Linked DNA regions of Medicago truncatula. Each later gene encodes a partner of the first gene's protein in a complex. Links are inferred from orthologs where the notes say so. Each region holds a gene or a part of one and is shown in the gene's direction. Other genes may lie near its edges.

Region 1 (7,256 bases):
CGGAAGTATGTTCCGGATCCATCTCATGTAATTCAGAGTGACGATGTGCAAGTTAGAGACAACCTTACGGTAGAAACTTTACCGTTAAGGATTGATGATCGTAAAGTGAAGACGTTGAGGGGCAAAGAGATACCTCTCGTGAGAGTCGTTTGGTCGGGAGCGACTGGTGAAAGCTTGACGTGGGAGCTTGAGAGTAAGATGCTGGAGTCGTATCCAGAGTTGTTTACTTGAGGTAAATTTTCGAGGACGAAAATCTTTTAAGTGGGGGAGAGTTGTAACGCCCACTTTCGTTTAATCGTTATTTAATCGAGTTTAGGCAATTATATTATAATTATATAATATATGCATGATTTTGATATGTTTTGATGATATGATGACGATTGGTACCACATGCATATAAGAAGTCTAAGAGCATTGTCACATTGTCATGATTAAGATGCCTTGTTGATGATGATTGATTATGTGATTACGTGATATGTGTTTATTGATTATGTTATGTTATTCCTAATGATTGGATATATGATTAAGTGATAACTGTTTAGCAATTATGCAAAGTTAGAAATAGAATGAATATGATGTTAATTTATGATTCTCAATTACATTGATTAATGTTATTGTATTATGAAATCTCACCCCTTCTGCTTGAAAATGTTGCCCTTCGTATGGGTAACTTGCAGGTGATCGTGCTTAGTGTGCAGTTGCCGTCGTGAGTGGCCTTGCCTTCACTGTGTCGTCTAGGTCGCTCTGATACGTAACGGGATGGGGTTATATGCTATAACATGGTTCATTCTCTTACGTGGATAATATGTTATTTTTATTAAGTTATGGAATATGAACTATTTTGATGGGGCCTACGTGCCAAACTGATTTATGATTTTTGAATTTAATATTCCGCTGCTATGTTAAAGATATTGTGAAGGTTAAATTATTATTTAACTGTTTTTGGATTACGTTTCTATGTGATATCCCGTTTGTGGTTTTTACTCTGATAAATGTTTATGAAATTTGTATATTGGGAAAACGGGGTGTTACAATATAGACTTGTCTTAGTCTAGGTCTTTTGTTTTGGATTATTGATATGATTGGAGATTTACCCGTATGTTGGGATTTGAGATTCATCCATGTTGATGTAATAATTGATTCATGACACGTATATTTGATGTACTCTGGTTTATATTCCGTTGCGATTGTTGAGATTTATATACATGTTTATTGGTTTTGAATTTTTGAATGATGACGTAGCCTCTATTTCTTGTAATTGTATTATTCTCATGTTTAATTGCTTTAATAGAAATATGAGTGTTACAAGCTTTACATAGATCTATAGAGCTACAGATTTCTACGAATTTCTGGCAACCTAGTGGCTACTAGGGGTGTAGTAAACTCAACCATCATGTTAAGTCCCTGAAGACTACCGATCATATTATAATCACATAATCTTAACATGCATCGTTGCTAGGTTAGGTCATCAACATTTTCCACTAAAGTATTATTCTACTGAGCCTTTGGCTTATGACAAGAGTCCTAGTTAGATCTTGACGTTTAAAGCCTTTTCCAAGTTCTAGTACTCATGCAAAGTAGTTTATCTTGATCCCTTAATCTCTCGATGCATAGGGACAAAATCATATCAAACAAACTTGTTCCATTCCAATAACCTCTTGGTTTCAGGGAACTATAACATTAAAAACAAAAGTAATCAAGTCTTGTTTTCAAAGATTTTGAATAAAAACAATTTGTTTGAAAAAAGCACGGAGCTATAGCTTTATAAATCTGAGAGTTGTCTAGTTCGAGTTAGGGCTGGCAATGAACCGAACCAACTCGATTATAGTTCGACATTCGACTCGATATCTAATCCTTTGAACTTGGTTCATGAACCTAACGAGCTGGACTTGAGCTGAAAATTAAGTTCGTTAATTAAATGAGCTGAACTTGAGCTACATATAATTCGACTCGTTAGGTTCATGAGATGGCTCGATTATTGATTATATATATAAATCAATTTGAGTTAGTTTTTAAAATTTTTTAATTCAAATGTGGCAAATGTGGCTGAATACAATTTTGTCTTGAAGGGAAGAGCAGTTGGAGTTTAAAAGTAAAAGAATATTATGAATTTTGTTCACAACTAATTAAATTTTGTTGGATTTTTTTGTCTCTGTTACTTGTATCAGATATTTTTCTTCGTATTTATGCAATCTTTAACTTTATATAATTTATGTCTATTATATGCATGTTTGTGGGAACTTTTATTTGAATTCAATATTTTATATATATATATATATATATATATATATATATATATATATATATATAAAATATCAAAGATCTATAAATTAATTTTTTTTTTTTATAATTTTTTTTGGACTAGTTGAGCAACCGAACTGAACCTAATGAGCCGAACCGAACTGTTCGTGAACTTTAAACGAGCCGAACTCGAGCTGAAAAAATAGTTCGTGTCGAACTCGAACCGAGTTTTGAGCCGAACCAATTCTTATCGAGTCGAGCCGAGCTCAAACAGATTCGGTTCGACTCGACTCATTTCCAGCCCTAGTTCGAGTGGAGTTTCATGGTTTCAAGGTTATTTTTCTGTTGTTATGATTTCATGACATTTTATCGAATCCTTTACCAAAATTGACTAAATTCATTCAAACTACCTAATTTAACTAAAATGACTCCAAGAATAGACTAAAAACGCTTTGTGATTTCTTGCCATCAAGTTAACATTGAAGGATATGGTGCTTTAACACACAAACGATGATTGCAATAGCAACTTCGATAACAACAACAAGAACATCTTTCAACATGATTATTTTCAATTTATAAGACAAGAGATATATATGTTATATGGATACATATTCTAAAGTCCAAGTATCTATTGTATCTCTTTGTCCTTGACATGATATCTCTGTGAAAAGCTCTGAAAGAATCATTTCTTTGTACTTTGAAGATCTTAATAGCTTCCGAGTCAAATAAAATATGGCCACATGATCTTCAATAATTGATCAATTAATGATGTATGCATGAACGAAGTGGACCATGCAGATGATCATTAGGACCCATCGATGTCTTGGAGTGCTCTGCACATATAATGAGTTTTGGTAATAATATGTTAACCAAAATAGTTGCTTGATTTCTTAAAATCTTAATCAACTTGTCTTGTGCTTGATGACCATTTGTCATTACCTTAAAGATAGTTGCACGTCTTTAATTTCTCTTATAATATCATGCATGATCATAGACATAGGTATATGACAAAGTGTTCCTTTATTATTAGTCTTGTTAGTGTCAAAACATAATACAAAGATGTTGTTATTTGAATATAAACGGTTCTATCACATTTTTCTTCCGATAGGATTCTGCTAGATTAGCAAAGTGAGGTTTTTAGAGTGTCAGACGAAACCTCTTTTTCTCTTAGCGAATTGCCAACTTATCCAAGTAGATTTAAACTGCCATAGTTTTATAGGCGACGTACTTCATTTGCGGGGATTTTTTCCCGGGATTCAAGACTTGAGTCTCTAACCGGAAGATTTTCCTTTGATCTTTCTGTTTTGGCCCCTTAACAAAATAAAATATAATCTAACTCTCCAAGTACTGTCCCTTTTGCAGTTTTGATCCCAGTCCAATTTTATCCAAGTCAATGCTGACGTGGACGCCACCGTATGTAATTTTTATTTTTTATTTATTTTTTAAAATATTTTTTATTTAAAAAAATAAAAAAACAATATTTTTTTTAACTTCCAAATTAAACCAAATTTATTTTGAGAATCATTAATACAATTGAAAAAAAAATAATCGAATATTAAAACTTTTAAAAAACCATAATCGATCCAAATAGTTAAATTGATCTGATCCATTAAACCGAACCGAATCACACTAACTGAACCAAATCATTTCAGTTTTTGATTGTTATTAACGATTAGGTTTTTTTTGGTTCAGTTCGGTTCAAAGTTTTGTTTTCACCCAAAATAAAAAAAGGAAAATGTTACATAGACACCCTTTATTTCCATACACCTTTGTACACCTTATATTCTAGGAAGAGAGAAGAGGAGAGGAAAGAGAAAATACCTTTATACACCTTATATTCTAGGAAGAGAGAAGAGGAAAGAGAAAATGTGCTTGTGCGGGGTCCATGTGACCACATGTCAGATTTTTGTGTGGATGTCGAGGGATGTATTGCAACCTATGTCTATGAATCATAACTCATAAAAAAATACAGAAGTATCAAAATCCGACAGTGTAACCAACCAATAAAAATCCAACAAACAGTAGTTACCGTTTTACCACCATCATACACACACACACACACAGTATAACCGAAGTAGATAACAGGATAAGGAACATTTTTGCAAACATTCGCAAAAAGCAAAGCCTTGTGGCTTGTAACAATGGCTTCTTCAGTTACCTCTTCGTTTCAACTAAGGTTCAAACAAACACCCTTAATTTCACTATTTCTCTTTCTCTTTCTCTTCTTTACTCTACTTGTTCAAATCTCATTCTTCATTCTCTTCAATTTGAACCATTTTAATCATATAAATAAGTTTCATTTCAAGTTTTTGTTCAATAATTGTTATATGGTGTTTAATTATTGAATGCAATGAAATAAAAAGTACCCTTTTTCTTAAAACACTTAAAGTTTTAAACTTTGAGAAAACCCAATATTTTTTAACTTTATAACTGTTTCAATTTGTGAATGTGGTTTTATTTTTCTGTATTCTTTCTTCAATTCTCAATTGGGTCAAAAGGGTTATAATTATTTGTCGTGTATGTTAAATTTGGTTGTAATGAATCATGATGATGTAGTTGAGGATGATAGTGTTGTAAATGTTTGACGAAATTCAATTAAATGGATGTTGCATTTAAGATGTTTGATGAAATGCTTGTTAGTAGTATAATTTTGTATTTCAGGAATAAATTACTTTGTATTTGTTTTTCACATAGTTAGTGAGGTGATTGTTAGCTTACAGAAAAGATAATTTCATCGAGTGTACTTTCTTGCTATGAAGCACAAATACTAATCGGATTAGACGTGTCCCGGTGTTGGATACGTATTGTGTCCGACACCAACACGACACCGACACATTATTACGTTGAATTATTTCATTTTCTTAAATTATTATCGATGTCCGTGTCTGAGTCTGTGTTTCATGGCTTTCTTAGTAGTAAAACAGGTAATTCTGGATAAAATTATTGTCGTGATTTTGGCAAAAGCTACATTTTGGAACTTCAACAAAATCATGTTGCGGCTGTGATTTCGTTAAGTTCAATGTGATACCAAACATGCTATATCAAAGAAAAGAACAATTGTTTTGGGAAATTGTTGTTTTGTTTGCTTTATTGGTTTCCTTTGCACAAAGATCTTCATGTGAGGCTTTTATTATGTTATAGTAGGATATTGAACATCATTTATCAAAATTGCATTTTTTAATGTTGACCTAAATCACTACGAACTGGAAAGTGGCTTCTAATTGAAGGATAAGATCTAGTTTACCAGGCCCTGTATCTGTTTTAGTCACTCATGAATTTTGGTTTTCTTAATCATTCTTTTATAATTTCTTAGTTACTTGAAAAATTGTTAGTTTCAAAGTAAATATTTTATAAATTCAAGCAGTCTCTCACTAATCATTTGCTTTCCTATTTCAGCAATTTTAAGTCATCTTTTGTTGGCGAGAGAAGTAGGATCAGAATTTCAAGTGCTCCTGCTACTCATGTTGGGTTCTTTAGAAAGACTACCGAATGTAAGGAATCACGTATTGGGAAACAACCAATTCCCGTTCCATCCAATGTAACCATCAAAATGGAAGGGCAATATTTCCATGCGAAAGGTCCTTTGGGAGAACTTTCATTAACTTATCCTCGAGAAGTTAAGGTTGAGAGGCAAGAAGAAGGGGTTTTAAAGGTCAGTAAGGCAGTTGAAACTAGAAGGGCGAATCAAATGCACGGGCTTTTCAGGTACTTCATTTTACTTAACTTTTTTAATTGTTTCATGATGTAGAAAAATAGATGTTGCCAATGAGGATTCACATTCTCTGCTGTAAAAAATATCAGTCAGGCAGTCAAACAAATCGTTTGAGTACATGTCGGAGATGAATAGTGGGTTTTCAGTCACTACGCTGTGGTTTGGGTTCAGAGTGAAAACATTGAAAAAGTTCAATCCGACTTAGGCTCAAACGGCTAATTTTAACTTGAGAGCATGAATGCAGGATTTCTCTGACTGCAGAGAATCAAAATCCTTGCCAATAATCATAGCATAACGATAGTTGTAAATTTATAACATTTGATTCATTCATTGGTGTTGCCTTTTCGAGTCGTGACAATGAAAACATTCAAGATATATGTTGTAGTTAGTATTTTGACAACAGTTGTATACTTAACACTGGAAGAAGTGATGCAGAATGGATGACCTTGTTAAGTTATTTTAAATTATGATAATTTATGGGTTTTTATGATAATTGTTATTGAGGGAAGTTTAGATGTTGACTCTATCTTTTACTAGACTTCCACCCGTGTTGCCGCACGGGTCATATACATTGGAAAAAATAATATTAAAATGCAATTTATCAACTACTTATGCAACTACATTAGTAGCCGTATTTATGCAATCACCGTACAATTTTTAACATTCTAGGCATATAGACTTTCTCCCCAATGTTGCTTCCTGATATTACCTTTCTTTCAAGAATATATCTACCCAAATTTGTAATTATCAACCGAGTACCATTACATAGGCTTGCAGTAAAGTCCAAATATCAACTCTCAATTTTAATTTGTGATCCGGAAGACTAAAAGAATTGTGTTAAAAAATTTAGACGATGAACATCATCGGCCTATTGACCATTGAGGTGTGAGCAAAGAGAATCGCAGCTTAAAAAATGGTTAATCAAACATAGAAACAACTCCAATGGAGCTACACTTGTATACTAACGTACATTAAAGTAACTTTAAAATACATGACACATACACTATTGCCATACTATATAACTCAAGAGAGGCTAAAAATCTATTTTGGTATGAGCTTTCTTATACTAAAATAAAAGCATCTCATTAGAATTTGTATTTGATTAGGATTATAGATACCACTTTGGCTACCTATGTTTTCCAGATTTGATATTGATTGAAACAAAATGCTGTCTCTGGAATGCCAAGTATTTAATGCTTGGGATTCTAGCGAATTCTTCTTATTGGAATTCTTGCTGCACGTGTTATTTTCCTAGCCTTTTCTACAAGTAGTTATTTTGAAGTTTTTCAGAAGGAGAAAGAAA
Region 2 (5,949 bases), on another chromosome or scaffold:
GCTTCGCCAAAATTTATCTCGGCTAAGAAATACGAGCATTTAACATATAGAATAAGAAGATCCAATTACACAAACAGTGAACACACTTTTTCTGATAGCTACAAGCAAATTGAGACAACAAGGTAAGCAAGCTTAATTTTAAAAAAGGGGGTAATCTAGAACCTGTAAATTTCAAACACATATTCTTTAATCTTTCAACATCATAAGGCTACACCTTGAACCAATCAATAGGAAATCATTACTACACTGCACCTCTTTTTTATAATTCACTAGTTCTTAATACCACAAAGCAACCACTAGTTCACTTCAAATATGCGTAGGAGTCCAGTCAAGGATTCAAAATGAAGAACCTTGAAACTACTGAAATACAGATTTTTATTATTGGCAGTTACATAAACATCTTTTGTATTTCAATCAATCACAAGAATCTAGTTTTACCTAATGACAAGTCCAGCTTGTATTGGAAATTCATGTTCGCAGGAAGGTATGACGTACTATTTGGAGTCATATCATATGCACATTAACAAATATTGATGATAGTAATTATTTTGTGCCATGAGGATTATATTTAGATACAATCAACAAACCAGTCAAATGTAACTGCAAATTGTTGAATTAGCTGAAAAACAAAAGTATGAAACTACCTGCTTGTATTCTCACTTGACTATTTCCCCTGAGCATGCATTTTATAGAGATGGGAACCAGCTGCTGAGTACTCGTTATGTTAACTGAAACACCAATTAGCAAACTCTCCAAATATGTTTTTTCTGCTACCTTCACAATATCACGAGGATCAATTCTTCTCATTAGCCTCCAAGAATGGAATCACCCAATCACCTTCTCTTTTAATTTCCCCATCCACTTCATAGACTACAGCATTGCTCTCTTCCTTGGATTCATCACAAGAAGCTAACAATTGTTTGGTTTTTCTGCGTCCTAATAACACAAGCTCCAACATATTCCTACGAACTTCATACACCGGATTAGGCTCAATCAACCCGCCTTTCTCATAGGCCTCCCTAAGAAAAACAGTTTGAGCATTTCCCTTTGTAGATATGTAAAATATCCCCGGATGCCTTAACAGTAGCTCGCGCACATTAACTTCGATATCAAAATCCCTTCGAAAATGAGCCAATTGATCAACCTCAACCATTTTCTCCACAGTCAAGCTCAACAGCTCATGAAGAACAGCAACAGCCCTCTTCTCATACCTCTGAACCCCACCGCACTTAACATTTTTTCTCTCATAAGGCTTCGTATATGATAGCCTTTGCCAACCCTTCAACTTTTCCCTAAACCCTCTCTCAATCTTAAACCCGGTTGGAAAATTAATAGGAAAAGCAAACTTGGTCTCAAATTCACTCAACCATTTCTCTCTATACTCTCTTTCCCTCCATTCCTCAACACGCGCCATTCCCAATTCATCGTCCCAACCAACCAATGCCACAATCTCCAAATCAACCAACCTAAACTCATCACTATATCTCCCAAGAATGGATTCTCTAAAATCACAAGGAAGACCCAATTCTCTTCTAATTAACCTCAAAGCATGCAAATGAAGAGTACCATTCACAGACATCATAAGCAACTTCTTCACCCTTTTAACAACCTCAACCTCATGTTGTCTCACAACAACCTCTTCCAACAAGATCAACTCTTTCATCTTTTTCGTCATTCTACAGCACATGTTTCTCCTAAAAGGATGAACAAACAGATAAAAAACATGAGGGTATTTTTGAAGAAAGGAAGTAACAGTGACATTAAGTCCTGTAATGTTTTTCCAGCGTGACATGAGTTGAAGAGAGACAAAAGAACCACGTTTTCGATTTGATATGAGGTTGCGGGTTTTGAGAACAAGGCTGAGTTTTTTGAAGTGGGTTGTTAATTTGTCAAAGTGGGTGTCTCTTATTCGGTCTTCTAAACGGGTTTGTGCTGAAATGGTGGGTTTTTTCCATCGTTTTTGGTTGAAGAGGAAAAAAGGTGAGAATGATGAGATTGTGGTGGTTGCTTGGAAGATTCTGTATCTGAAGGTTGATAATGGATTCATGTCATTGATGTGTTGCAGGTTTAGAAGGGAAAGGTTTGTGATAGAGAGAGACGAGAATGAAAGGAAGATCGATTAGAGGGGTGCGAAAAGGAGAAGGGCGCGGTGGGATAACAGAAGAAGGGGTTTATGCACGTACTAGAATTTAACGTGTAAAACTTTTTTACACACACATTTGATACCTTTTCTGACTAGTTTTTAATTTAAGATATCTTAAGAAGTATTTAGTTGATTAGTTACAAATCCTAAGTCTTAACTCAAATGTGGTCAGATTTCAAACTCAAGTGCATTCATTTGTGTGTATTGTTATTTTTTTCATTTTGTTCTACTAAAAAAATGTACTAGATTTGAGATTTATTATGAAGAAGCGTATTTAGAGCTATAAGAATTGTGAGGTGAGAGACTCGCGTAATTTGTGTGTTTGATTTCATAATATTTTTAAGTTTACATTTGAGTTTTAAGAGAGAACATATTCTTTTAGTTTATAAAAGTTAGTTTTATCTCATGATTTACTTGTGTTTTAAGGTTAGGTTGTGGTGGTTTGATTCGAGATAGTGATGGTAACTGAATTTGTGGATTTGCGAAACTCGTTGGTGCATATAATGCGTTTGCTGCAGAATTACAAGGGTGTTTGAAGGTCTAAAAATTGCTCATAACAGAGGATTTGAAGTTGTGGAACTTTGTGGTGATTTGGAAGCGTTGGCGAAGAGTTTGAAGAGTGTAGTGTGATGGAGTTTGACTATTAAAATTTGGAAGCTTTTAGAATTAGAGTTCGAGGTTAAAGTTTGCCACTCATATTGAGCTACTAAAGAGAGGAAACACGAGATAGGGAGAGTCGGAGGTGAGTTTTTTCCAATTGTTTTTTTCTTTTTTGCATGGTAGACCTCTATTTTGGGGTTTTAGTATGATTCAACCATAGGAATAGGATTTGTTCTTTTCTTTGATTTATACAAACTTTAGTAGCTCTGTATTTTCAAAATGTGCATGTGTTATATAGTGTATTATTAGGCTTATAAGGTTAAGTATATAACGAATTAGTGTTAATCTATATGTTGATCATGACGTGAGATTAAGTCGTGACATGAAGATCAAATATTCTACTTGTAGTTGGTTAACAAAAACATACATTGATACGTATCAAGATTGTTTTTATCGAAAAAAAAATAAAGATTTAGTTTATACACATTCACATTGTAAAGAGTATTTACTTAAATTGAAGAATTTAGTTTTGAGATACCCACGACGTAATTTTTTCTTACATGTGAAATCAATCAAATATTGTCAAATAAATACATGTTTTTAGTAGAACAAAGTGAAAAAATAACAATTGAAACTCGCACACAAATGAATGCACCTGATATTCTCCACCAAATTCAACAAAGATTTATACCCTTTAGTATTAATAGAAGTATAAGACTAATCATCAAATCGGATGTAGAACTATTTTTTAAATAAACAACTCTCGAAATGATTCATTTTCTTGTAGGAGGGTAAAAACGGAAATGCTTAATAGTACGAAATCAGTTAAACGGAAAACAACGAATGCACTTACTGTGAATTTGTTATTACATTTTGGTTTTAGTTCCTGTAAAAATATTTTGGTTTTAGTCCCTATAAAAATATTTTTTTTGATTTTAGTCCCTCCAAATATAAAAAATTTGGTTTCGGTCCTTGGTATTTTGTTTTAGTCCTTGTAAAATTGATTCATATTGGATTTGGTCATTGTAATATGTAGAATATTTGATTTTAGTCCCTCAAAATGAGGACTAAAATGAATATTATAGAGACCAATTTCAATATGAAATGATTTTACAACGATTAAAACAAAATACCAAAGACAAAAACCAAATATTCTATATTTGCAGAGACTAAAACCAAAAAAATATTTTTATAAGAGCTAAAACCAAAACGGCAGATATTTGCAGGAACCATTTTCATATTTAAGCCTTACATTTTTATCCTCAATCCATTTCTATATGACCACTTTACCCTTACCCTTGAATAGTTAGTGTTTTTTGAGTTTCGTCAAATCCAGTGAATAATTATCCCGTAGTGCATAGCAATGCTCGGGTAAAAAACTCTTCCAAAAACATGTTGATTGTTGATAATCTATCAATGTTCAAGTAAATAGTCAATTACCCCCTGAAATTGTAAGTTTCATCAATTATCCCCCTAAAATTAACAAAATGTCAATTACCCCCCTGAAATTGCACAACGTTAATCAATTTACCCTCTTCGTCAAATTTTTTCGTTAGTAAACATGACGTTTTGCAAATACTCCCCTGGAGTTTTACACTTATGTGCAAAATTTTATGTTCACTGACAGAAGAATTTGACGGAGGGGGTAAATTGATTAACGTTGTGCAATTTCAGGAGGGTAATTGATATTTTATTAATTTTAAGGGGATAATTGACGAAACTTACAATTTCAGAAAGATAATTGACTATTTACTCGTCATGTTCAAACCCATATTTTATCATTCAAAAACAAAACCCCTAATATTTAACCGTGATATAAAGTGGTAACAAAAAAGTTAATAAACTCAAAAAGTGGTGTGTCACACATGTTGTGCCTTCTTATCCATAAATCAATTCTCATCTTTCTCAAATTCTTCAATTGAACAAAAAAAAAAAACACAACACCATGGCACTTCTATGCTCCAATCTCTTCACGCTGACACCTCTTTCTTCTTCCTCCATTTTCCCAATTCCCACCACAACCCCAAGTAAGTACCATCACTTCTTCTTCCTTAATTTCTCCAAAATACATTCTCATGTTTTTATTATTCTTGTTGTTTCTTTTATCTTAGTTTTCTCGAACTATGTTTTTGTTTATCAGTTTCAAGAGTGCACGTTGGTTTACCCACAAACTCATTGAAGGGGCTTCAAATCTCGACACCCTTTGTCGTGAAACCAAGGAAAAATGCAATTTCTATTGTATCTGCAACTGCTGAATCCAATGTTGCAGATGGGTCTGAAAGTGAAAGCAAGAAAGAGAGTGATGCTGTTTCTGTAGATAAGCTTCCTTTGGAATCAAAATTGAAGGAGAGGGAGGAGAAGAGGTTGAAGATGAAGCTTGATAAGAAGATAAGGTTGAGGAGAAAGAGACTTGTTCAAAAGAGGAAGTTGAGGAAGAAGGGTAATTGGCCACCTTCCAAGATGAAGAAATTGAAGAGTGTTTGAAGATTATATCTGTTTGCAGGTTTAATCCTGATTTCTTCTTATTGTACCTCTGATTCTTTCCCTTATTCTCAACAATTTAGTTTTTTATTTTTTGTTATTTTCTTAATCATTCTACAATGTATCATGTATGTATTTTGACAATTTTTGTTCATTTTCAATCAAGGGTTTTAGTTTATATGTAGATGCCTTACATTTGGTTAATATTTAAATATGGTTTGATTTGGAATCAATGATATGATTCATGTGTTTGGATATTTTTACTTAGTCCCATTTTGGTTAATATTGAAAGATGAGTGTTATTTGGTACGATGAGCTTAGCGACGAAAACCAACAAATGAATAGGTGCAAAGAGTGGAGCAAATATAACTCTGTATTTGGGTGAATTAGCTGGTCAACACTTTTCGTTGGTTATCGTCGGTGCATTGCTCGTAACCATGAGTGTTTCTCATTGAAATAGGAGTTTAATTTGGAATCTATATAGTTTAGCACCGACACTTCTCATTATAGGTGTGTCCGGTGTTCAACACGTGTGTCCGTGTCCGATACATATGGTTATATTCAATTATTCATTTTTTCAAATTATTTGTGTCGTGTCAACTGTAAATGTCTCTTCCTAGTACATTTCTAATTCATCAAACAAGAACAATCAAATCTTTCTCCGAGTTTTCTCAGATTTTTCATCTTTTCTCCTATGGATTTCTATCTTCACTGTCCTGAAATTC

Evidence for each region. The genes of interacting proteins can lie anywhere in the genome.
Region 2: 50S ribosomal protein L6, chloroplastic (region 1) and 50S ribosomal protein 5, chloroplastic share a complex: the UniProt entries of both Arabidopsis thaliana proteins name them as parts of the 50S ribosomal subunit. The link is inferred for Medicago truncatula from reciprocal best matches to the Arabidopsis thaliana genes emb2394 and PSRP5.

What each region holds. Positions count from the first base shown.
Region 1 is NC_053047.1:21,810,664-21,817,919, forward strand, and holds the start of 50S ribosomal protein L6, chloroplastic, read left to right. Parts: upstream 1-4,252; 5' UTR 4,253-4,382; coding exon 4,383-4,417; intron 4,418-5,637; coding exon 5,638-5,946; intron 5,947-7,256. UniProt on the Arabidopsis thaliana protein: This protein binds directly to 23S ribosomal RNA and is located at the aminoacyl-tRNA binding site of the peptidyltransferase center.
Region 2 is NC_053048.1:41,272,776-41,278,724, reverse strand, and holds 50S ribosomal protein 5, chloroplastic, read left to right. Parts: upstream 1-4,604; 5' UTR 4,605-4,688; coding exon 4,689-4,770; intron 4,771-4,883; coding exon 4,884-5,227; 3' UTR 5,228-5,428; downstream 5,429-5,949. Other genes in the region: protein ROOT PRIMORDIUM DEFECTIVE 1, read right to left, coding at 794-2,047.